Mus musculus: one gene and its partners. The protein of the gene in region 1 interacts with the protein of each later gene in a pairwise test. Links are inferred from orthologs where the notes say so. Each region holds a gene or a part of one and is shown on either strand. Other genes may lie near its edges.

Region 1 (3,500 bases):
ATGAGTTCAGATCTTGGAAGGATGAGCCCACGATGGACAGAACGTGTCCTTTCCTGGACAAAATCTACCAGGAGGACATCTTTCCATGTTTAACATTTGCAAAGAGTGAGGTAATGGTTTTCATTTTAATAGAAATGCAGTAGAGTCTGTTGTACTTCCTACTGTCAGGCTTCATATTTTAATGTCCTACATGTAATTTTACTACTGTAAAATGTCATCTTAAACATTTTTCCATTTTCCATTAGGACCACGATCACGGCTATTCTGAACATCTTTCCTCATTGTATTAGTGAGCCGTGTAGATAGGTGTGGGAGGAGGGTTGCTGCCTGATTCGCAGACCCAGATTCAGTTTTCAGTTTAAGCCAAGTTCTATACACACCCTGTTAAAGGTGCTTGCCAGAGTGTAGCTCAGAGCAGAGTGCTCCACTGACCGTACAAGGAAGTGCTCCACTGACCGTACAAGGCCCTGTTAGATCACTGCTAACATAGACCCTAAACCAGAACACCAAACGTGTCCTTAAACCAAACAGAAAGACAATGCCAACGTGCCTGGGTTAGGGTTGGTAGAGGATGAAGCAAGCAGGTTGAAGCACATTGAAAAGGGTCAGGTGGATAAGTCGCATCCAACGTAAGATCAGTGTCTCAGTGAGGGTTTCTGTTCCTGCACAAACATCTTGACCAAGAAGCAAGTTGGGGAGGAAAGGATTTATTCAGCTTACACTTCCACATTGCTGTTCATCACCAAAGGAAGTCAGGACTGGAACTCAAGCAGGTCAGGGAGCAGGAGCTGATGCAGAGGCCATGGAGGGATGTTTCTTATTGGTTTGCTTCCCCTGGCTTGCTCAGCTTGCTTTCTTATAGAACCCAGGACTACCAGGCCCAGGGATGGCACCACCCGCAATGGGCCCTCCCGTCCTCGATCACTAATGGAGAAAATGCCTTACAGCTGGATCTTATGGAAGCTCCTTTCTCTGTGATAACTCCAGCTTGTGTCAAGTTGACACACAACCAGCCAGGACAGCCATATTTTAGTTTGATCTTATATGTGAGAAGTTTGTCTCCAAATAGCCTGCCAGCTAATGTTTAAGGAATTCAGTCCTCAGAATCTTCCATGACTCTGGAGAGGGTTGAGCTGTATCGTCCTTGTAAGGAGAACTGTGCACGAGCAGCTTGGCACCGACCCGAGCGTGGGCTGTGCATTGCAGCCTGTTCCCTAGCGCTCGTAGCCGCAGCAGACTCAACTCTGACCTTCTTACTGGCTGCCCGTGGAGGGCACTCCATATCTCATCTCATCTGGGAGATTGTTGTGCCTATAAGACAGAAGTTGAGAAAATATGTAGCTAAAATTACTATATATTGCTGTCATAAATGACCAGTATTTATTGTATAAATTTAGAGGGTAAAGCATTAGGATATTAATTTTGAAGTGGCTTGTATATAGTACACGTGTAGCCATGTGTGGACAGAGCCTGGAACAATAGCAATAAAATAATAATAATAATAATAAACAACCTTACCCTCAGCCAGTTAGTGCAGAACCTCCTTGCTACTGTAACTGAGCTGCCTGTCGTAGCGGCTTGCGTTTTAAAGGTTAAATCGCGGTTGTGCTTTATGCTTTTCTTCCTTCTCTTTGCAGTGGCTACGGCCAAGTTAGTGAAGCAGAGGGAGGACCAGCTTGTAAAATTAATGTCGTATTTTATTTTGGTATTTTTCTGCTGACATTTAACTCTGTTTTGTTTTAAGTTGGCTTCAGCTGTTCTGGAGGCTGTGGAGAACAACACTCTAAGCATCGAACCAGTGGGGTTGCAGCCCATCCGCTTCGTGAAGGCTTCCGCTGTCGAGTGCGGAGGGCCAAAGTAGGTGTTTTCACCACGCCCTGTGGGAAGAGCGCGCTCTTCAGAGTCTCTGTGCTGTGCTCTTGTGTTTGTTCTTGTCTGTGGTTTGAATGACATGCGGTGTTTGTCTTTAACTTTGTATTTCAAAGTTAAACTTATCCCTCCCCCCAGACAAAGCTGAGGTCTATTAGGTAAAGAAAGGTGTGTGGTTTATTTAGAGAATTCTAGAACATTCTTAGACTTCAGTGTGGCTGCGGAGAGAGGAACAGCCAAGGAAAGGTCAGCGGTACAGACCCAAGGCAAGAGGTGGATGTGGCTGCTCAGGAGCGCCCTGAAGATCTCTTAATTACGTAATACATACATGCTGGGGCTGCAGGCCGACTAAAGGTTAGAGACAGTGTTGACCTATTAGTGGGCTGTGAAGTCAGACGTGTGAATTGTAGGCCAGACTGGGAGAGAGAAAAGAGAAGGTAATGGCTTGGTAACTGGCCTTACCAAGTAGGAAAACAGGATACAGGAGCTGGAGAGATGGCTCAGTGGTTAGCAGCACTTGATGCTCTTGAGAGAGCCCAAGTTCAGCTCCTAGCTCCCACATCAGCCCACCCAGCACCCACCTGTAACTCAGGTCGGATACCTCTGGCCTGAATGAGTTTCATGGGAACATGTCCCCTGCCCCCAGACCTGGATACATATACATAATTAAAAATAAAAAAAATTAGTCCTCACCTTCCATATGATTTCTATAAAAGATGCTGAAATTGGCAAACAGCTGTCTCCCACATGTGACAGGCATTTGGAAAGTACAAGTTGTCAAAGGGAGGACTGCTCTGTTCTCAGGGTGGGGCAGCCTTTTTCGTCCATTACTGTAAGGAATAGGCTTTAGCGTCTGTTTTATTTTATCAGGGAAAGCATTTGAGGACCGGGCTAAGGGCTGTTGTGATGCTGTGCACGCAGGACCTGTTAGAGAAGCTGTACCGCCTGTTTCTGTGGGTGCACACACATTCCCAGGGCGGCTGTAGAGTGCTAGTGGTTATGGGACTGCTTGGGTGGTGTAGCCGGTTGTGTTTGTTCCCTGAGCTGCATACCCAGCCAGAGCTGTGGTTGGTGTTAAACTACTGTGACCATACCCTGTAGCGCAGCAGCCTGGACTTGAGGGGAGCTTATAGTATTAAATCGTACAAACACCAAAGTGTTTTCCTGTTAGCCCTGCAGCCCCTCAAATGGAAAGTCAGGTGTGGGGAACGCAGTGTTTGGAACCTGAACAAGTATGGCATGTGGCAGCTTGTCTGCTTACACTGTGTCACATATACTATACATAGGAAAGCATTCTCTACATGATGGCAGACAGCAGTGTGAATCAGGTAGGTTAGATTTAGAGAGCAATTTACACACAGTGCTTATGTGCGCAAGGTCAGGAGGGAAGGCACTTGTGGTAAAATGGAAGGAAGAGTTTTGTCTTTTTCTCCTTTCCTCCCTTCCTGTCTTTCTTTCCTTTACATTTTATTTTCTACTACTGTGGCGGAGTCACAGCATGCACGTGGAAGTCACAGTAGGACTTGTGGAGCTGGCTTCTCTCCCACTGTGTGGGTTCCGGGGCGTGAACTCAGGCTCTCTCTCTCCCTCCCTCTCTCCCCCTCTCCCCCTCTTCCCCTCCCTCCTCTCCC
Region 2 (3,500 bases), on another chromosome or scaffold:
CAAGACTCCCAGTTATGAGCCCCAGGAGACAGACAGCCTCGGCCAGATGGAGACCAAGCTCAAGAACCAGAAGGTAAGATGGCTGCTTCTACTTTGTAATGTATGTCTGGGAGCATCAGAAGTCTTCAAGGCCTGGCTGGAGGGATGGCTCAGTGGTTAAGAGCACTGACTGCTCTTCCAGACATGGTGGCTCACAACCATCTGTAATGAGATCCAATGTCGTCTCTGGTGTGTCTGAAGACAGCTACGGTGTACTCACATTCATTTTTAGAAAAAGAAGAAGAAGAAGTTCTCAAGGCCAATGGGGCAAGACAAAGGAAGGGGCCACCGCTTTCAGCATCCTCTCACAAGCACTCCACGTCTTGCTCACCCCTTTCCCCACAATGCCCTTCACAGGCCCTGACTCAACAGATATTCATATGGCTTAGCTCATGACCGAAACACTGGGAACTCTGTGGGAAAGATCCCATTATCAAAGTTGGGGTTCCCACTTCCTCAATGCCACAAGGACCTCAGAAATCCAGTGGCTGAGGCTAAGGAAGCGAATTTGTCAGAAAAGTGCTTGCTATGCAAACATGAAGACCTGAATGTAATCACTAGAACCCCCCTAATAAGTCAAGCATGGCTATGCAAGTCCATAATTCTAGCATTGGGCAAGAACGGAAGACAAAAGGGTCCATGAAATTCATTGGCTAGCAAGCATTGCCAAATTGATCGATTTCTGGGTTCAGTGAGAGATCCTGTCTCAAAAACTAAGTGGAAAACAGTAGCAGAAAGATATATGATGTAGACTGTTAGCCTTTGTATGTGCACAGAGACGGGCAGACAGACAGACAGAGGGAAACACAGGGAAAGCCAGCTCCTGATAGTCAACTTGCTGTCCCTCCCTGGACTTGTTTTCTCAAGTCAAACAAGTTCCTCGGGCTTGGCTCACACGCTTGCTGTAGGATTACATGCTCTACCAGAGCAGAGCCTGGCATTTCAGAGCTCACAATAAACACCTGTTTCCTGGCACGAATAACCATCTTCACGGCCCTTGCTCCAGGCCTTGGCACTGCCCTTTGTGGTGAACAAATGTACACAGGAAAGCCACCCACTATGCTTCCAGCTATAGCATGTTGACTTTAGGTCCTAAGGACTCAGCCTCTGAGGAGCCTGTGTGTGTGGTTCAGCTTTGGTTTCCAGTATCTCCTGTTTTACAGAACTTGCTTGATGAGCTAGCAAGCAGGGAACAGGAGGTGCAGAAGGTCTATGCAGATTCCCAGCAGTACCAGCAAGCGGTGAAGGTGAGCCATGAACCCTGTCAGAGCACACAGTAGGGCCTTTTGCATTAAATGTTACAGAGCAATCTAGGTAGGTTGCTGGGGAAATGGGCAGTCGCCTTATGTAGGCCCCACCCCTTTGACAAAACAATACAGCACCAGATACCTGATATCACCCAGGAATTATATTCTTAGAACAGTCAACTCTTTGTGTGTGTGTGGGGGGGTTACCCTAAAGGAAAACAAAACAAAATGAAAAATGATGTACACCAAGCAAAATTATATAACAGCTCTAGTTATAACGGGAAAACTAGCCAACAAAGCCTTATGCAGGAATGTCTGTGTAAATGACCCAGCATCTACTTTGATGGAAAATGCCAAGGTCTCTGGTGGAGAAAGGGAGAAAGGCTTAGGATGCAGTGTTCCCCAAGGAAACAGCATTTGGCCTTTTGGAAGGCCCAAAGAGTCAACTTGGTTTGTGTCTCTACACGAGTTAGGAATTGCAGGCACATTTTCTTGTATGGATGTCACTCAGTGAGGTAGCAACTTAGCATCACTGTCTTAGCCAGCTCAGGTACAGATGTGAGGAAGTTATACAAGATTGCTAAACCAGCTCTGGCAGCTTGGAGTCCTTAGAGGGAGCATAAATCACTGTCACTTTTTGTTGTTGTTGTTGTTGTTGTTGTTGTTGTTGTTATTGCCCCTAGCTGACTACTGTACTTCCTTTCTTTTACCCAGGACTATGAACTTGAAGCAGAGAAGCTAAGGTCCTTGCTGGACCTGGAGAATGGACGGAACAGCCATGTGAACAAGAGAGCCAGGCTGCAGTCTCCTGCTGCCAAAGTGAAGGAAGAGGTGAGCTGTAAGTGAAGACTGCCAGGGGCTCTCCAGATGTGGTCCTCGGTGAAGCACTTGCAAGAGAAAGAACTTGTTTTGGAGCAGTGAGATATCAATATGCCTAAGAGGCAGGCTTGTAGGGGTTCTGGTCCCATGCCAGATACATGGGAGGCTCCCACCTTGCTCCCCTGTGCAAGTCTGTAGTAGAGGGCAGTACAGCCTGCAACAGCTGTGAAAAGAATACTTAGAAAGACTTGCTCAGTGGTCATGGACCAAGAATCAACCTGCATCAGCTCAGTCTTATATTTCCACCAAAGGCTGGAGCTACGGGTAGCACTGGGCAAGAGGTAGCCCTTTCTCTACACGCCAGGCCCTTCCTAGACTGTGTCCAAGTGTTCTGTTGTTCTCCTAGCCTTCTAACTGCTGTCCTAAAATTTCTCTGTAGGAAGCTGCTCTTGCTGCCAAGTTCACAGAGGTTAATGCCATCAACAGACAGAGGCTACAGAATTTGGAGTTTGCACTGAATCTCTTGAGACAGGTAATCCATCTTAGTTAGAAATACTACTTCTAATTGTCCTACAAGATGGAAAGCAGTTTCCTCTGCCTTAGAGACACAGCCTGAGAATGACGGGAGTGTCTTCTGCTGACACTTTTGAGAAGGATTAATGCTAATGCTAAGCTAAACCAGCCTTCTTCACTAGCTTGGGCTAACTTCCATACCAATTCAAAAGATGTTTGCTGAGCACTTATCAAAGGCTTTTGTTTGCTGTTTAATGAGTGTTTTGCCTGCATGTATGTATGTGCACCACACATGTGCCTGGTGCCCAAGATCAGAAAAAGACAATGCATCCCTTAGAACTGGAGTTTCAGATGGTTGTGAGCTACCATGTTGGGTGCTAGGCATTAAACCTGGGTGCCCTTTAAGAGCAACAAGTGGTCTTAACTGCTGAGCCACCTCTCCAGCCCCCAGAGTTTTTTGGGAGTGGGGTGGGATGGGGTTTTTTGGGGAGGTGTTGTTTTGTTTCATTTTTTTCAAGACAGGGTTCTCTGTGTAGTCCTGGCAGTCCTGGAACTCACTCTGCTGGGATTAAAGGCATACACCACAACCACCGAGCTTCAAAGTTATTTTCAGTGGCATGTCTGTGTTTCTGTATGTGGATTTGCTTAAGTGCAGGAACATGGACATGCTTGCATGTGCAGGACAATGACAACCAAAGAGTCATCCGGAGGAACGCATTTACCCCTTTTAAGACAAGGTTTCCTATTGGCCCGGAGTTTACCAAGTAGGCTAGACTAGCTGGCCAGCAAGGCTCAGGAAGCTTCCAGTGTCCACATCCTTGATGCTGTGATTGCAGGTGTCGCTCCCCTAGAGCACCAGAGCCCTGCATTTCCCACCAGTGC
Region 3 (2,170 bases), on another chromosome or scaffold:
TAAGAAAACAGGGGAGGGGCTGGCGAGATGGCTCAGCAGGTAAGAGCACTGACTGCTCTTCTGAAGGTCCTGAGTTCAAATCCCAGCAACCACATGGTGGCTCACAACCACCCGTGATGAGATCTGACGCCCTCTTCTGGTGTGTCTTAAGACAGCTACAGTGTACTTATGTATAATAATAAATCTTTAAAAAAAAAAAAAACAGGGGAGCCAGGTGATGGTGGCCCACACTTTTAATCCCAGCACTTGGGAGCCAGAGACAGTCGGATCTCTGAGTTCAAAGCCAGCCCGGTCTGTAGAGTGAATTTTGGGACAGCTGGGGTTGCACAGAGAAATTGTCTCAAAACAAACAGGACAGGGGAGTGTTTTGGGTGAATCGTGCCTTGGTGGAGGCCAGGCTGCTGAGAGCAGACACGTTATATGGATCTGTGAATCCCACCTGCAACATGTATGAGTGGACGTTATTGTCTTGGAAAGCAGCCAGGCCTGGAAAGAAAATTGGGCAGTCACGAGAGAGTAGATGCAGCCAAGTAGGGACAGACATAGACATGAGGTGGAGTTCTTAGGTGTTCTTTCTTCTTCAGGGCCACACATGGTTGAAAGATGACGAGGCAACACATTGTAAGCAGTGTGAGAAGGACTTCTCCATTTCTCGGAGGAAGGTATGTAGGAGCCGCTCCTGGGTTCCCTGGAAAAGCCTGGCTTTTCACTATAGCTCTGCCCGTGAGTCTGCTGGAGGCCCTTGCCCGAGTTCTCTAATGACTGGCATGGGTGGGCAGTGAGCTTCTGTGTAGAGCTGCTGTATACATCACTGGCAGCCCTCTGTATGCAGCAGGACCAATTGTTTGACTGAATTAGGCTAACAACCTAATCAGAAGAGGTTGTCTATGACATGAGTCTATGACATAGCCATTTATAGAAGCCACGATTTTCGAAGCATGGTAGGTGTGGGGTCCCACCTCCCAGTAGTCTTAACTGCCATTGTCCTGTCTTCTAGCACCACTGCCGAAACTGTGGCCACATTTTCTGCAACACCTGCTCTAGCAACGAGCTGGCCCTGCCCTCCTACCCTAAGCCAGTGCGTGTGTGTGACAGCTGCCATACCCTGCTACTGCAGCGCTGCTCCTCCACTGCCTCCTGAAGCCATCAGCCCCACCCACCAGCAGGGACCTTGACCTGTTGACCTCCATCCTCAGAGTGGAGGAAAGCCTCAGGTACAGTGCCAAACTTGGGATCTCCAGAGACCTGTAGGGACCCAAGAGAATCAAAGGAAAGAATGAAACCTTCACCAGGCTGTCAGCCTCGGAAGAGAATGCCAAGTGGCAGCTGAGCACTTTTCCATGGTCTCTATGGAGTCATCTCCTCTAGACAGACACTTCTGTGTCCTCAGTTAAATCCTGGCTTTGGTACAGGTGCAACTTCATGACTTTGCTACTGTCACCTTCACTTTTCAAAGGGTTAACCTGTTGTGCAGCAGTTGCACTAGAGAATCCTTTCTCTTTCCTACCCACGTCCCACAGAAACCTTGATTTCTGCTGTGCTTTGAACCTTGTGGGTCTGTCAGTGTGCCTTGTCTGCTTCGGCATCCAGCATTTGCCATCATGCTCCTGCCAACACCTACTGTCAGCCCTGCAATAAAATCCTTTATTTTTCACTCTTGTACAGACAAAGTGCTGGCCTCCAGCTTGCTTGTGGAGGGCTCAGCAAGGCCTGGGGAGGAGGGCCTGCTGGGTCTGAGCTCTTCAGCTCAGTGTTGCTTGGACTCGGGCTGCTCTACCCAGGTGAACCAAAGCCCAAAGCCTGTCACCAAAGTCCAAGTGAGTTACTTACACAGATGCCTGACTCAAAGTGGGGTTACATCCACGTTGCAGTCAAGTAGAAATGAGCCAATAATGACCACAGTACAGCCTCCCTTAGCCTGCCTTGAAAGTACTCAAAACACTGAGCTTGCAAAAAAGCAGATCTCTGGCAGATTCCTAGCACTTGGGAGGCAGAGGCAGGCAAATTTCTGAGTTCAAAGCCAGCCTGGTCTACAGAGTGAGTTCCAGGATAGCCAGGGCTACACAGAGAAACCCTGTCTCAAAAAAAAAAAAAAAAAAAAAAAAACAACAAAAAAAAAAAAAAATAAATAAATAAATAAAATAATAATAATAAAAAAAGCAAACCATTA
Region 4 (2,575 bases), on another chromosome or scaffold:
CAGTACAGCAAAGAACATCAAGGTAGGAGAGCTGCCTCTGAAATGTGAGGCTGACTAGAAAGCCCAGGAAATCATTTTGTTCAGCCCTAGAAAATTACATTAGGACAAAAAGGACATTAATGAGGCCTATAGGCCAGACACGTGACATCAGAATATAGCACCCAGCCGGGCGTAGTGGCGCACACCTTTAATCCCAGCACTCGGGAGGCAGAGGCAGACGGATTTCTGAGTTCGAGGCCAGCCTGGTCTACAAAGTGAGTTCCAGGACAGCCAAGGCTACACAGAGAAACCCTGTCTCGAAAAACCAGAAAAAAACAAAAAACAAAAAAAGAATATAGCACCCAAAACAGTTTACCTGCCAACTTCAACTCAGTTGTTGAAGATAGTCAGATTTGGGGTCCCATCCTCAAATCTGTTTTGACTTGTGAGCTCAATACAGTCTAGGCTGTGAAGATAGTATCCCTGACACATAGGAACTGGAAAAAAAAAAGCATACCCCACTATGCACATTCACAAATTTCCCAAGGCCACTGGGTGACATTTATTGTAAAAGCACATGGGGCAAGGTTGGGACCAGGTGGGGCAGGTTCTAGGAGGCAGAGTCAGAGGCCTCTGAGCTGTCTTTGACATCTGTGCTCTCTGTGGTCTCGCTGACCTCACTGAGGTCCTTGCTGTCCCCACCACTATCCTCAGCAGCCAGGCCCTTCTCCTCACGACAGGCCTCTCCTGAGCTCAGAAGCACGTTGCCTTTGTTCTCCGCTTTGTTCTCCAAGGCCGCCAGAACCATGTGCTTGCCCTTTTCCTTCAGCTCCAGGTGCCGCCTCAGCTGCCGCCAGGAGCCCAGAGGGAAGCGGGTGGAAAGAGACAGGGCCTAAGTCTCCAGACAGGAGACAAGAGGAGCCAGGCCCTGAGGCTGGCTGGGGGAAGGGACACAGTGAGAAGTGGTAGGGCCAAGGCAAGAAATAGGACTGGGTAGAAATGTAGTTCAATCCTAGCTCTGCCCTAAGCCTGCTTTCCTCATCTGTAAAATGACAAAGGTCCTATTGCCCTCAAATGTGCTGTTGGGGAGCCTCCAAGACAGAGCAGTACCTCCCCAGGAGGCTTGGTCAGAGACCCTTTCCCCCTAGCCCAGTTTAGTCCTAAATCTGAGCAGGCTGCCCCTGACCCTAGTAGTCCCTCTCCCTAGAAAAATATCTTCCTACTCTCTCTCCTGTTCCACCCACCTCCAGGCTTCTTCCCTAGAAAGCATCCCATAGCCCCCTCTAGAGTCAACAGAGGCCATGTCACAACTTGACAGCTTAGGAAGTGAGGGAAAGAGGGGCTCTACAACGACAAGGGCTGACACTCAATCTTGGTCTTGCCTCTAGCCACCACTGCCTCACTCAGTCTCACAGCTCTAAAGTAGCCACCTTTCCCAAGTACAGAATCTCCCCTGCTGCTGGAATTGCTGCCCTGGACTGGCTGAACTCTTACCTCATCAGCCATCTGCGTGAGGTCCCGCTTCATTGCATACGCATCTTCCCCATCTGCATAGTATTTGGGCTCCACTTCGCTGATCCTGGGGGTAGGATCAAGACACATGCCTAGGGGCAAATTCTCCTGGTTCTTAGGCTACTGGGGTAAATGTCATCTCCCCCATAGAACCTTTGTAGAGGCAAAAAGCCAGTGTGAATGGGCTTCTCCTTTTTGTTTTTCATTTGAATGAACTCTTGTCCAACTGCTGTGATAGTTATCTCTGCTTTTCCAGTGAAGCCGAGCAGCATGTAGCATCCAGGGTACTTCCCATTCCTAGACTTGCTACCACTTTGTCCCTAGCCTGACCAGCAAGGACTTGTGTTTTCAGTTGAAGCCCCTAGTTCTGCTTCTTCCTCTCCCTGACCTGCTTCTTATCATTTACTGAGCACATAGCCAGTTCCTCTGCTAGGAAAAAGGGACACTGTACCTGCATGTAGATAGTCAGCATAGACAACCTGGTTACTGACCAGATGGCTGAGGGAGGGGAGGGAGGTGTGTGTGCACACTTGAGTAGCCCTGACACTGGAAGGGAAGCCCTTTGATGACCTAGGAAGGTTCCTTGCCAGTCTTCAGAGGTACATGTTGGGTATCTTCCTCAGTTGCTTTCCACCTTATTTTTATTTTTTCAAAATAGGGTCTCTCACTGAATCTGGAACTTGTCCATTCAACTAGGCTGGTTGATTAGTGAACCCCAGGGACTCTCTTGTCTTAACCTCTTCAGCACTAGGATAACAGGTGCGGGGCACTGTATATGGCTTTTATGCATGGGTGCTAGGGATCAAACACACGTCCTCACAATTAAGCTTAATTGAGACAGGGTCTTGCTATGTGGTTGAGACTAACCTGGAACTCACTATGCTGGAACTCCAAGCCATAGTCGTCTACTTTGAGTGCAGAGATTAAGAGGCGTGTGTTACCATACCCAGCTGGAAACTGCTGACTTAGCAGCTAAAGCAGTTCCTGTTGCAGAGGCGTCTTAACTACGTCAAAGAGCCCTCCATGAATCTGGATGTAGAACCCAGAAAAGCTGAAGACTACTACCCTGTCCCAATGGTGTCAT
Region 5 (3,500 bases), on another chromosome or scaffold:
TTTGAGCTTTGGTCCTACTGCATGGCCTGCTGAGCAGAGGAAGGTATGACATCAGGCCTCGTCTTGTTTGTCCTCCGCTGTGACGAAGGTGGACACATAGCCAGAAGTGACACTGTGAGATGGCTTCTCCTATTCCTTGGTTTTGCCTACAAACAGGCACAAGAGCGATGGTGTTCTTACTCAGTGAGGCTTTCAAATGTGTATCAGATGAGGTAGTTGGCCAGCAGGGGGTTCTGTGGTGACTGCGACTGGAAGCCAGGTGACTGGCCTGGGACCTACAGAGGCTTTTGTCCATATCTAAAGCCACTTGTCTCGCGTGTGGTTTCTCAGTGGTTTATGACTCTGTCTATTTGAGATGACCTGGAAGTCAGAACCAGAGCTGCCAACTCACTCCTGAGGGAAAGGGAAAAGTACTTCCAGGTCACAGGCCTGCTGTCACTGTGCCATTGCTGAGTATATGCAAACAGAACACTCAGAGACATCTCCTAATGCCCAGTAGGTAATATGGCAGTGAAAGGGTTCCACTCCTTCTCATGGCTGCTCTTGATGAGAGCAGCTGTAGAGTTTGGGGGAGAACTTCCCCCTCAGGAGACGATCTAAACTCGGTGGCTTTAACAGCCAGAAGAGGACATTTGCCAACTTAGACTTTTGATTATTGGAGTTTGAGTTTCTTCATTTATTTTCCTGTTATTTAGTGAAGTTGCATAAGCCAGCTACAGAGGTCACTGTGTTGAAGAGAAAGTCTTGTGACGTCCTTCACTACCATCCTTCCTGCTGTCATTGGGCCGTGGCAGACAGAGGACCATGGGCTGGAGACAGGGTCTAGTGGTTAAGAACACTTACTCCTCCTAGCAGTCCTGAGTTCGAGTCCCAACTCCCACAGCAGTGGCACACAGCTGTCTGTAGCTCTAGCTCTAGGTGATCCAGTAACTGTGACCTCTGCGGGTACACAAACACACACATACACACAATTTAATAAATATAAATTTTAATTGGCAAATTTAAGGATTGGTGATACAAAAAGTAAGTTCTAAAAAGAGGGAGGGCCATGGCGTGAGGTCGTGAGATGGCCAGGCTCTGCGTGCTCTTCTGTGCTCCCGGCCTGTTCTGTGCTCCTAAGGATCGGCAGTTGGGGTCCAGTGGTGCTCTGCTGTGTGCTGTGTGTTCCTGCTCTACCCTCCAGGGCTGGATGTGGCTACTACCCTTCCCTGGGGTTCCAGGCAACTCTGGGAAGTGGTTCCTGTGCTAAGAGCTTGGGTGTGTTAGGAGACAGCCTGGTAAGAACGAAGGAGTAAGCAACTGGCTGGGAGCACTGGGCAAACATCTTCAGGTGCCTGCTGCTCCCCGAATGCTGGCCAGAATTTACTGAGTGCCCCTCGTTTGTAAGGGAGGAAGGGTAAACACTGTGTGAGATCCCTGTACATTTAAGGTGTTCTAGAAAGCAAGTGTGCTGCACTGAGGGAGTTTTGGATGAGGAGAGGGGACAGTACTGTTTGCTGGTCTGGACTGAGGCGGGCTAGGCTAAACAGAAGAGCAGAGGGTAACGGACTACAGCTTTGGCAAGACCTGTATGAGTGCAGTTTTGAGTCTGATTCCCTAGGCAATTAGGATGGTATATGTCGTCTTGTGAGTGAGTTTAGGGCAAGAGAAGTTACAGGCTTGGGAGTCTGAAGCCTGGGAGAAATGGAGACTCGTTGGTGTTGGAGTGAAGCCTGGTTCTTTAAAGGTTAACTAACTCGACGGGAGGAGTGGTAAATACCTGCATCTGGTCCTGCTGCCCCCAGTGACCTGAGTGATGGGCGTCTTCCTTGATGAAGTGAGATTTTCTAGAAGATGAGTCAGACCTTTAGGAGTAGGCCAGCGGCTCAGCTGGGTCTCTTAGCAGAGCTTAGCTGCTGTTTGGTGCTCTCAGCAGTGGGGCTCAGGACAAGGCCTGCGTATGAGAGCTCTTAACTGGGACGTGTTCTTTCAGGTCACCTCTTCTATAAATTTGGAATCACGGAATCTGACTGGTATCGGATCAAGCAGAGCATTGACTCCAAGTGCCGGACAGCCTGGCGGCGGAAGCAGCGAGGCCAGAGCCTGGCGGTCAAGAGCTTCTCTCGGAGGACGCCATCCTCATCCTCTTACAGTGCCTCAGGTAGGCTCAGGAGGGCGCTGTCCCGAAGCTCCGTTCATCAGTCCTGGCCCTGTCAGTGAGGCTGGCCTTGTGGGAGCTCCCTAGGCAGTGACAAGAGCACAGGGCCTGCCTATTTACACTGTAGGCTCAACAGGAAAATTTAGTGTGGGACCTTTCTCGAGTTGCCTGGTTACTTATCTTCTGAGCGTCCTGCTGCCTTAACAGTAGCTACTGTGTAGCTGCAGAGTGGCGGTGGGTGAAGGACGGAGGGCCCATGTTGTGCTCTTTAGTCTTAGTTTGAGCTTATAGACTCAGGCTTGTCCTTAAGATCGCAGAGACATTCTCTGAGCCCTACCTGTTGGCCCGTCCCCTCCCTTCATGCTAGTGTAGAGCTTGCACTCAGGGTCTTGGGCAATCTTGGCACTGGTACTTTGCCACTGAGCTATGCTCTCAATCCTAAAATTGCCTCTTAAACTGTTTTTCATAGCTTTCTTGGCAGTAGCAACAGCTCCTGAAAGCTGAGTCCTGGGTTTGCTCAGGATCTGGGACAGCAGTGGGCAGGTGGCCGGCAAGGCTTCCTTTCAGTGCACGCTTTGTCCAGGGACTCTGGTTTGGAAGCTACAAAGCTGGTCACCTGGAGCCCTCCTTGAGCATCTTCCAGAAAGAGCTCTTCCTCCTTTGTTTTAGTGGCCATTAGTTACTTAGCTGTAGCCGGTGCCAAGGCTCTAAGGTGGCAGCTGTGTGGGCCACACACATTGTTCCCGGTAGGCAGTGTTGCTGCAGGTGGCACGCAGAACTGGGAGTTGGACTTCTATCCTGGGAACCCAAGGGAGCCTTTAGGCATGTGAGGAATGTGTCTGGTGAGGTTGTGTGTGGCTGTTAAATGGGGCGAGCACGACTTGTAGCTAACCTAAGATGTGCTCCCAAGTGCTGTCAGCCGTGCGGGCTGTGGTTTGGTCCTTCCTTACCCGAGCAGCGGATCTTCATGGTGGCAGTCTGCAGTGGTCCATCAGTTCTGTTTGTCTCACTGTGGCTCCCATGTTACTGTCCATGTGATTTAATCCGTGTGATTAAAGAGCAGGAAGATTCCGCTAGATCAGGTTGTAGTGGCTGCACTGCAGTGAGCCTTCGTGCTGTGAAGGTGCTGCATAGACGAGTGGATGCCTAGGTCTGAGCATTTGATCCCCTGCATCTGGGGTTATGGGTGGTTGTGAACCACCATGTGGGTGTTGGGAACTGCACCCAGGTCTTCGGAAAGGGCAGCTGGTGCTCTTAACTGCTAAGCTAAGTCTCCAACCCCATAAAGCCAGAACTTAATGACAACCTGAGAAGATCATACTGGGCCACAGATTTCATCATTGTATTAGGAAGATAACAAAAT
Region 6 (2,488 bases), on another chromosome or scaffold:
AGGCCTGTGTGGCCTCCTGAGCCTCCCTTTCTTGGCCTTCCAGGGAAAGAGGAGGAGCCTGTCCGTCCTGGAGGGCCTGGGCTTCCGCGTGGGCCAGGCTCTGGGTGAGAGGTGAGAGCCAGCCCCACCTGCCTTCCTCTGCTGCTTGGGAGAGTGGGCAGACCTGACGTTGGGGTTCCTGCTGACAAGACCAAGGGTGGGGAAGATTTCACGGGCCCACGCATGTACCGTGTGGGCCAGGCTTTGTTCCGCATCCTCATGCAGGCTGCCCCTGGAGACACCGGCCTTTAGGGAGGAGTTAGATGCCCTCAAGTTCCTGTGCAGAGATCTGTGGGCCGCCATGTTCCAGAAGCACATGGACGGACTCCGCACCAACCACCAGGTGGGTGTGCGAGCCCAGCTCCGGCACCTGGCTTCCAGCTTAGGGGCACTGGAACCTCCACAAGGGCCCACTGGGGACGTAGGAGGCAAGAACCCTAGACTGACATTAGCACCTACCCTTCTCCTTGGAGCCCCTAAGGGAGGACAGGACTGCAGTGGGTGGCAGGGCTGTTTCTTCAACTTCAGCCTGCCCCTCAGGAGTGACCCCTGCACAGTCAGCTAGTGGGCTCGACCAGGCAAGTCCCAGTAGTCCCCACTGAATACCCACACTGTGCTCATTCCCGCCACCACATCAAGAGCCAGAGATTGGGCCTCTCCCAGCACCTTACCAGGCAGGGACGGCTTCCTAATGCCACATGGCCCACATGCCAATGACAGGGTGTTCCACATGCGCCCAAAGGATTGAATGCTGGGTTTGTGGGTATACTGGGGTCCTTCCCTGCCCTCTGGCTCTTTTTTTGTTGCCAGGGGACCTATGTGCTGCAGGACAACAGCTTCCCCCTCCTTGTCACCATGGGCTCGGGGCCACAGTATCTAGAGGAAGCCCCCAAGGTATTGGGTGAGGGACGGGACATGCCCATCTACCCACCCCTGCTAGGCCGCTCGTGGGGCTGGGGCCTGGCTTCCCTCTTCTCACAGTGTTCTGTCCCCCACCCCCACCCCAGTTCCTGGCCTTCACCTGCGGCCTTCTGTGCGGCGCCCTCCATACACTGGGCTTCCAGAGCCTGGTCACCGCCTCCGTGGCATCCCTGCCCGCCTGTAAGTTACTGGGGGGGGGGGTTGTTTCCCTTAAATGTGGTGTAGGCTTTGGGGCTTCCGCATCCTTGGCCCCTCATCAGTGCTGGGAAGGGGAGCAAGATTACCAAGCTGTATGTGACATGAAATTTGAGGCCCAGAGACAGGTAACATGAATGGAATCATATGCCCAGCCTGCATCCCTGAGGTACCTCTAAGAGAAGAAGTGGGCATAAGACCCAGTGGGACATCTCATACCCTGGCCAGGTTCCTGATGGCTTGGAACGGTGGACTTGGCACCCGTCTGCTATTATCTTGACCCCATAGGGCACTGCTGGGCTTAGATGATGACTCCTGCCACTGTGAGGAGCTGGACTCAATGGGCAAGACATGTCAGGAGCTTGGGCTAGCCCTCCTGCCTCTGGGCTCCCCTGTGGTCTGGAATGTGGGCCACTTGGGTGGGGCGGTACCCCTGCGACCCACTCCCAGCCGGGGCCACTTGGGCTGTTGGTGCAGAGTGGGGTGCAGAGAGAGCCCTCTCACGGGTTTCTGTCTTGGCTCTTCTGTTCCAGGTAAGTTCCAGGTGGTGATCCAGAAGTCCTGAGGACCCCAGACCCCAGGCTTGCCCTTCCCTAAGCTTAGCCTCGGAATGTGGCACCTGACCCTGCCTCACTGCTCACCTTTGCAGGTCGCCTTGAAGCTGGAGCTCACAGGCTCTGGGGAGGTCACATGTGCTTCAGACAAGGGAATGAAAGGGCCGGGAGGGTCCCGGGAGGTGGGACCATCCCCTGAGTTCCAAGTCAGCATGGAGGGACATTAGGGCATCACCCAGATGACAGATGTTCAGTAAAGGTTCTTTATGTGCAAACAGACCTGTGCAGTGCTTATCACACGTTACTCCGTACCCACACCCACCCTGTGAGCTCTGGGCACACCTGGCCCAGCTCATGAGCTCTGCCAGCCAACAAGTCTGGGGCTGCCCCCAGCCCAGCAGGTGACACCCTGCCACCTTGTTCTGATTGTATTTGTAGCATCTGGGCTGCCCTTGGGCTTAAGCCTGGATTCTGCTGCCCATTGCTGCATGGGTAAGCACCCAGGCCCAGGGAATTCAGACCGAGGTGGCTGAGAAGTAACAAGGGCTGCTGGCTCGTGTGTGTGTGTGTGTGTGTGTGTGTGTGTGTGTGTGTGTGTGTGTGTGTGCGCGCGCTAAAGTGCTGAATCTAGTCCTCTGAAAGAGCAGTTAGCCCTGTTAACTACTAAGCCATCGCTCCAATTCGACACCCCGAAGACAAGGCCTCTCAGGGTGGGGCAGATGTATCAGAAGTTAAGAGTGTTTCTTGCTCTTGCTGAGGACCCAGGTTTGAATCCCATC
Region 7 (3,500 bases), on another chromosome or scaffold:
AGCAGAGGGCCAGCTGGGCGGCCTGGGGCTGAGCTCCTGTGCACCTGGACCTGGCCGAGTGGGCAGTGGGTGACTGCTGTGGGCAGAGAGAGGTCTGGGCTTGTGTGAGCCTTGTCCTGTGGTGTCCCCCAGCCTCCCCCCCGGGTGCTTCTGGCCGTGTTTGTGGAGCAGCCTACTCCCTTCCTGCCTCGGTTCCTGCAGCGCCTACTGCTCCTGGATTACCCCCCGGACAGGATCTCTCTCTTCCTTCACAACAGCGTGAGATATGGAGAGCATACCCCTTATCCCCCATCCCACCGCACCGACACCTCCTTCCGTCTGTCCTCCCTGACTGCATCCCCCATGTACCCACCTCTCTGCCCAGACCGTCAGTGTATCCCTCTCTCCGCCCATCTTCAGGAGGTGTACCACGAGCCTCATATTGCAGATGCCTGGCCACAGCTCCAGGACCATTTTTCAGCTGTAAAGCTGGTGGGGCCAGAGGAGGCCCTGAGCGCAGGGGAGGCCAGGGACATGGCCATGTGAGTGAGTCTGCCTGGGCTGTGGTCACACTACGCTCCCCTCCCTCATCCTCTGACACAGACAGTGGAGCCCCTGGGGAAGGAGACACTGACCCTTGACCTCATGTCAGAACCAGGAGAGCCCCGCTCATCCCTCCATCCCCACTGCCCTGCCTCCATGCCCCCATTTGGGCTCACCTCTCTATCTGTGGCTCTTCTCCTCCAGGGACAGCTGTCGGCAGAACCCTGAGTGTGAGTTCTACTTTAGCCTGGATGCTGATGCCGTCCTTACGAACCCGGAGACCTTGCGTGTCTTGATTGAACAAAACAGGTGACCAGCACCACCCATGCATGGAGCCCCAGAAGAGCTTCACCCCCTCCCCTGGTGGGACATAGTCCTATCCCATCTCGTCCATCCCTCACCTACGTCTTCTCCATAGGAAGGTAATAGCTCCCATGCTTTCCCGCCATGGCAAGCTCTGGTCCAACTTCTGGGGTGCCCTGAGCCCCAATGAGTACTACGCCCGCTCCGAAGACTACGTGGAACTGGTGCAGCGGAAGCGAGTGTGAGTCCCACCCACGTACCGTGCAGTGCCAGGCAGGCCCTTCCCTCGGTCCCCCTCCGCAGCCTCCTACATACACACTAGGCCCCCGCTATGGAAAGGGTGATATGATGGCCTCAGGCTTGGGATTCTGGGGGACACCGAGGAGGAGCTTCTGCAGTGAGCAAAGCGTAGTCTGTGGGGTTGCCCACCTAGCTGATCATACCCGGTGCCTGCAGGGGCGTGTGGAATGTACCCTACATATCTCAGGCATATGTGATCCGCGGGGAGACCCTGAGGACTGAACTGCCCCAAAAGGAGGTATTCTCCAGCAGCGACACAGACCCAGATATGGCTTTCTGCAAGAGCGTCCGGGACAAGGTGAGTGGGGTGGTTGGCATGGGTTGCCCATGGGGACTCGACGCTGTGCCCACAGCCTCCTGATGTCCTCCTCACGCATGCCCACCCTTTACCCCGCTCCAGGGCATCTTCCTCCACCTCAGCAACCAGCACGAGTTTGGCCGGCTGCTGGCTACTTCTCGCTATGACACAGACCACCTACACCCAGACCTCTGGCAGATCTTTGACAACCCTGTGGTAAGAGGGGACCTTTGCTCCCTGCTTCCAGCCCATAGCCCCCACCACCATTGCTGATCATGGGAGGGCAGGCGTGAAGAAGGCTCCGCTCGAGCGCCCTAACCCTTCCTACAGGACTGGAGAGAACAGTACATTCACGAGAATTACAGCCGGGCCCTGGATGGGGAAGGGCTAGTGGAACAGGTAAGCTGCCCCAGGACCTTGGCCCGTGTGAAGTACCCACTGCTGGCATTGGTGGGTTCTAAGCTGAGCACCCGGGGACTGAGGGTTTCCTATTCGGGCGAGAGGAAGGCTAACGGCCACACTAAGTGTTAAGGGCCTGTAATCTTAGAGGTCTGGAAGGTGGTGCAGAAGGATGGAGAGTTTCAGGCTAACCTGGGCTACATAATAGGTACCAGACCAGCCATGGTCAGATGGCAAGACCAAGTCTCAAAAGAAGAAAAAAGATGGGCTGAGAGAGAACTCAGTGGTCAAGTGCTTAGGACATAAGCATGGCGACCTAGTACAGGTCTCCAGAGCCCACCTGCAGTTCCAGACTGAGGACCCGCAGCAGGTTGATTCGCAAGACTGGCTGCATCCGTAAGCTCTGGGTTCAATTAGGAGATCATGCTCGGTGGATAAGGTGAAAGAACAATGGAGCAGTTCCTGGTGTCAACCTCAGACCTTCGAATGCACAAATGTGCACACGCACACCCCCAACATAGCCGTGCCCACCCGCACATGCACACCCCCACACAGCCGTGCGCACACGCACATAAAAACAAACAGAGGTGTGGTACATGCCAATAATGCCAGAGCCCAGGTCGAGGAAGATAACAGGGATTTGGAGTTGCAGGGCAGCATCAGACACGTAGCCAGTTCAAGGCCAGCCTGGGGACTGGAGAGATGGCTCAGCAGTTAAGAGCACCGACTGCTCTTGCGAAGGTCCTGAGTTCAAATCCCAGCAACCAGATGGTGGCTCACAACCATCTGTAATGAGATCTGACTCCCTCTTCTGGAGTGTCTGAAGATAGCTACAGTGTATTCACATACATAAAATAAATAACTCTTAAAAAAAAAAAAAGGCCATCCTGGATTACATAGTAAGACCTTGTCTAAAAATAAGTAAGTAGATGGGCTGGAGCTGGGGCTCGTGCAGTAGAGAGCTCCCCCAGTATTCACAGAGCCCTAGGTTCAGTTCCCAGCACAGTATAACCCGAGCATGAAGTTGCACGCCTGTGATCTCGGCATTCAGGAAGTGCAAGTAGGACGATCAGTGCCAGCCTCAGCTACCTAGTGAGTTTGAGGACAGCCTGGGCTACAAAAGACCCTGTCTCAAAAAGGAGGAAAAAAGACAGGACAAGATCATTGTTCTAGATGTTGGGGCTCCAGGCCCCCTATTCCTGCCCTCCTCTGCTAAAACACCCTTCCTCTCTCCACCTAGAGAGCTTGGGTCAGCCCTCCATAGATCCTCTCCTGTGTGTCTCCCCTCCCCTGTCCTTGTTGCCTGTCCCACCTCTCTTCTGTGAGCTTCACCTTGCCTTGTCCCTTGCTGCCCTGCTCTGTCCCTAGCCATGCCCAGATGTGTACTGGTTCCCACTGCTGACCGAGCAGATGTGTGATGAGCTGGTGGAGGAAATGGAACACTATGGCCAGTGGTCTGGAGGCCGGCACGAGGTGAGGACAGAGGGCTCCCAAGGGGACAGGGTGGGCCTGAAGAGGGACAGGGGACTTGGGGGATAGAGGGGATCCCCAAGGGCGGGGCTCATAAAGAGTATGCTAGTTACTTGTGGCCAGGAGAAAGTATATGTCCAAAGCAACTTGAAGAAAGGGTTTCTTGTGGCTCACAGTCTGCGGGCACAAGCCCATCATGGCAGGAAGG

What was found.
Region 2: the proteins of Rab3ip (region 1) and Ppl interact in binary tests that used the Homo sapiens proteins (3 or more experiments, as listed by UniProt). The two-hybrid records come from large-scale screens. The link is inferred for Mus musculus from reciprocal best matches to the Homo sapiens genes RAB3IP and PPL.
Region 3: the proteins of Rab3ip (region 1) and Rufy1 interact in binary tests that used the Homo sapiens proteins (3 or more experiments, as listed by UniProt). The two-hybrid records come from large-scale screens. The link is inferred for Mus musculus from reciprocal best matches to the Homo sapiens genes RAB3IP and RUFY1.
Region 4: the proteins of Rab3ip (region 1) and Naa10 interact in binary tests that used the Homo sapiens proteins (3 or more experiments, as listed by UniProt). The two-hybrid records come from large-scale screens. The link is inferred for Mus musculus from reciprocal best matches to the Homo sapiens genes RAB3IP and NAA10.
Region 5: the proteins of Rab3ip (region 1) and Banp interact in binary tests that used the Homo sapiens proteins (3 or more experiments, as listed by UniProt). The two-hybrid records come from large-scale screens. The link is inferred for Mus musculus from reciprocal best matches to the Homo sapiens genes RAB3IP and BANP.
Region 6: the proteins of Rab3ip (region 1) and Trappc6a interact in binary tests that used the Homo sapiens proteins (3 or more experiments, as listed by UniProt). The two-hybrid records come from large-scale screens. The link is inferred for Mus musculus from reciprocal best matches to the Homo sapiens genes RAB3IP and TRAPPC6A.
Region 7: the proteins of Rab3ip (region 1) and Plod3 interact in binary tests that used the Homo sapiens proteins (3 or more experiments, as listed by UniProt). The link is inferred for Mus musculus from reciprocal best matches to the Homo sapiens genes RAB3IP and PLOD3.

Annotation. Positions count from the first base shown.
Region 1 is NC_000076.6:116,912,454-116,915,953, reverse strand, and holds part of Rab3ip (rab-3A-interacting protein), read left to right. Parts: coding exon 1-110; exon of another isoform or gene 111-1,311; intron 1,312-1,518; exon of another isoform or gene 1,519-1,744; coding exon 1,745-1,857; intron 1,858-3,500. UniProt on the Homo sapiens protein: Guanine nucleotide exchange factor (GEF) which may activate RAB8A and RAB8B. Promotes the exchange of GDP to GTP, converting inactive GDP-bound Rab proteins into their active GTP-bound form.
Region 2 is NC_000082.6:5,090,982-5,094,481, reverse strand, and holds part of Ppl (periplakin), read left to right. Parts: coding exon 1-73; intron 74-1,202; coding exon 1,203-1,286; intron 1,287-2,000; coding exon 2,001-2,117; intron 2,118-2,544; coding exon 2,545-2,637; intron 2,638-3,135; exon of another isoform or gene 3,136-3,500. UniProt on the Homo sapiens protein: Component of the cornified envelope of keratinocytes. May link the cornified envelope to desmosomes and intermediate filaments. May act as a localization signal in PKB/AKT-mediated signaling.
Region 3 is NC_000077.6:50,388,786-50,390,955, reverse strand, and holds the end of Rufy1 (RUN and FYVE domain-containing protein 1), read left to right. Parts: intron 1-584; coding exon 585-662; intron 663-997; coding exon 998-1,141; 3' UTR 1,142-1,670; downstream 1,671-2,170. UniProt on the Homo sapiens protein: Activating adapter involved in cargo sorting from early/recycling endosomes. Regulates retrieval of proteins from endosomes to the trans-Golgi network through interaction with the dynein-dynactin complex.
Region 4 is NC_000086.7:73,916,370-73,918,944, forward strand, and holds the end of Naa10 (N-alpha-acetyltransferase 10), read right to left. Parts: intron 1,584-2,575; exon of another isoform or gene 1,559-1,583; coding exon 1,474-1,558; intron 918-1,473; coding exon of another isoform or gene 827-917; coding exon 590-826; 3' UTR 501-589; downstream 1-500. UniProt on the Homo sapiens protein: Catalytic subunit of N-terminal acetyltransferase complexes which display alpha (N-terminal) acetyltransferase activity. Acetylates amino termini that are devoid of initiator methionine.
Region 5 is NC_000074.6:121,998,992-122,002,491, forward strand, and holds part of Banp (protein BANP), read left to right. Parts: intron 1-1,972; coding exon 1,973-2,140; intron 2,141-3,500. UniProt on the Homo sapiens protein: Controls V(D)J recombination during T-cell development by repressing T-cell receptor (TCR) beta enhancer function. Binds to scaffold/matrix attachment region beta (S/MARbeta), an ATC-rich DNA sequence located upstream of the TCR beta enhancer.
Region 6 is NC_000073.6:19,514,158-19,516,645, forward strand, and holds the end of Trappc6a (trafficking protein particle complex subunit 6A), read left to right. Parts: intron 1-43; coding exon 44-111; intron 112-264; coding exon 265-382; intron 383-849; coding exon 850-933; intron 934-1,046; coding exon 1,047-1,140; intron 1,141-1,688; coding exon 1,689-1,720; 3' UTR 1,721-1,804; coding exon of another isoform or gene 1,805-1,908; 3' UTR 1,909-1,988; downstream 1,989-2,488. UniProt on the Homo sapiens protein: May play a role in vesicular transport during the biogenesis of melanosomes.
Region 7 is NC_000071.6:136,990,019-136,993,518, forward strand, and holds part of Plod3 (multifunctional procollagen lysine hydroxylase and glycosyltransferase LH3 precursor), read left to right. Parts: intron 1-132; coding exon 133-258; intron 259-399; coding exon 400-521; intron 522-726; coding exon 727-831; intron 832-940; coding exon 941-1,066; intron 1,067-1,281; coding exon 1,282-1,423; exon of another isoform or gene 1,424-1,523; intron 1,524-1,525; coding exon 1,526-1,639; intron 1,640-1,753; coding exon 1,754-1,822; intron 1,823-3,190; coding exon 3,191-3,295; intron 3,296-3,500. UniProt on the Homo sapiens protein: Multifunctional enzyme that catalyzes a series of essential post-translational modifications on Lys residues in procollagen. Plays a redundant role in catalyzing the formation of hydroxylysine residues in -Xaa-Lys-Gly- sequences in collagens.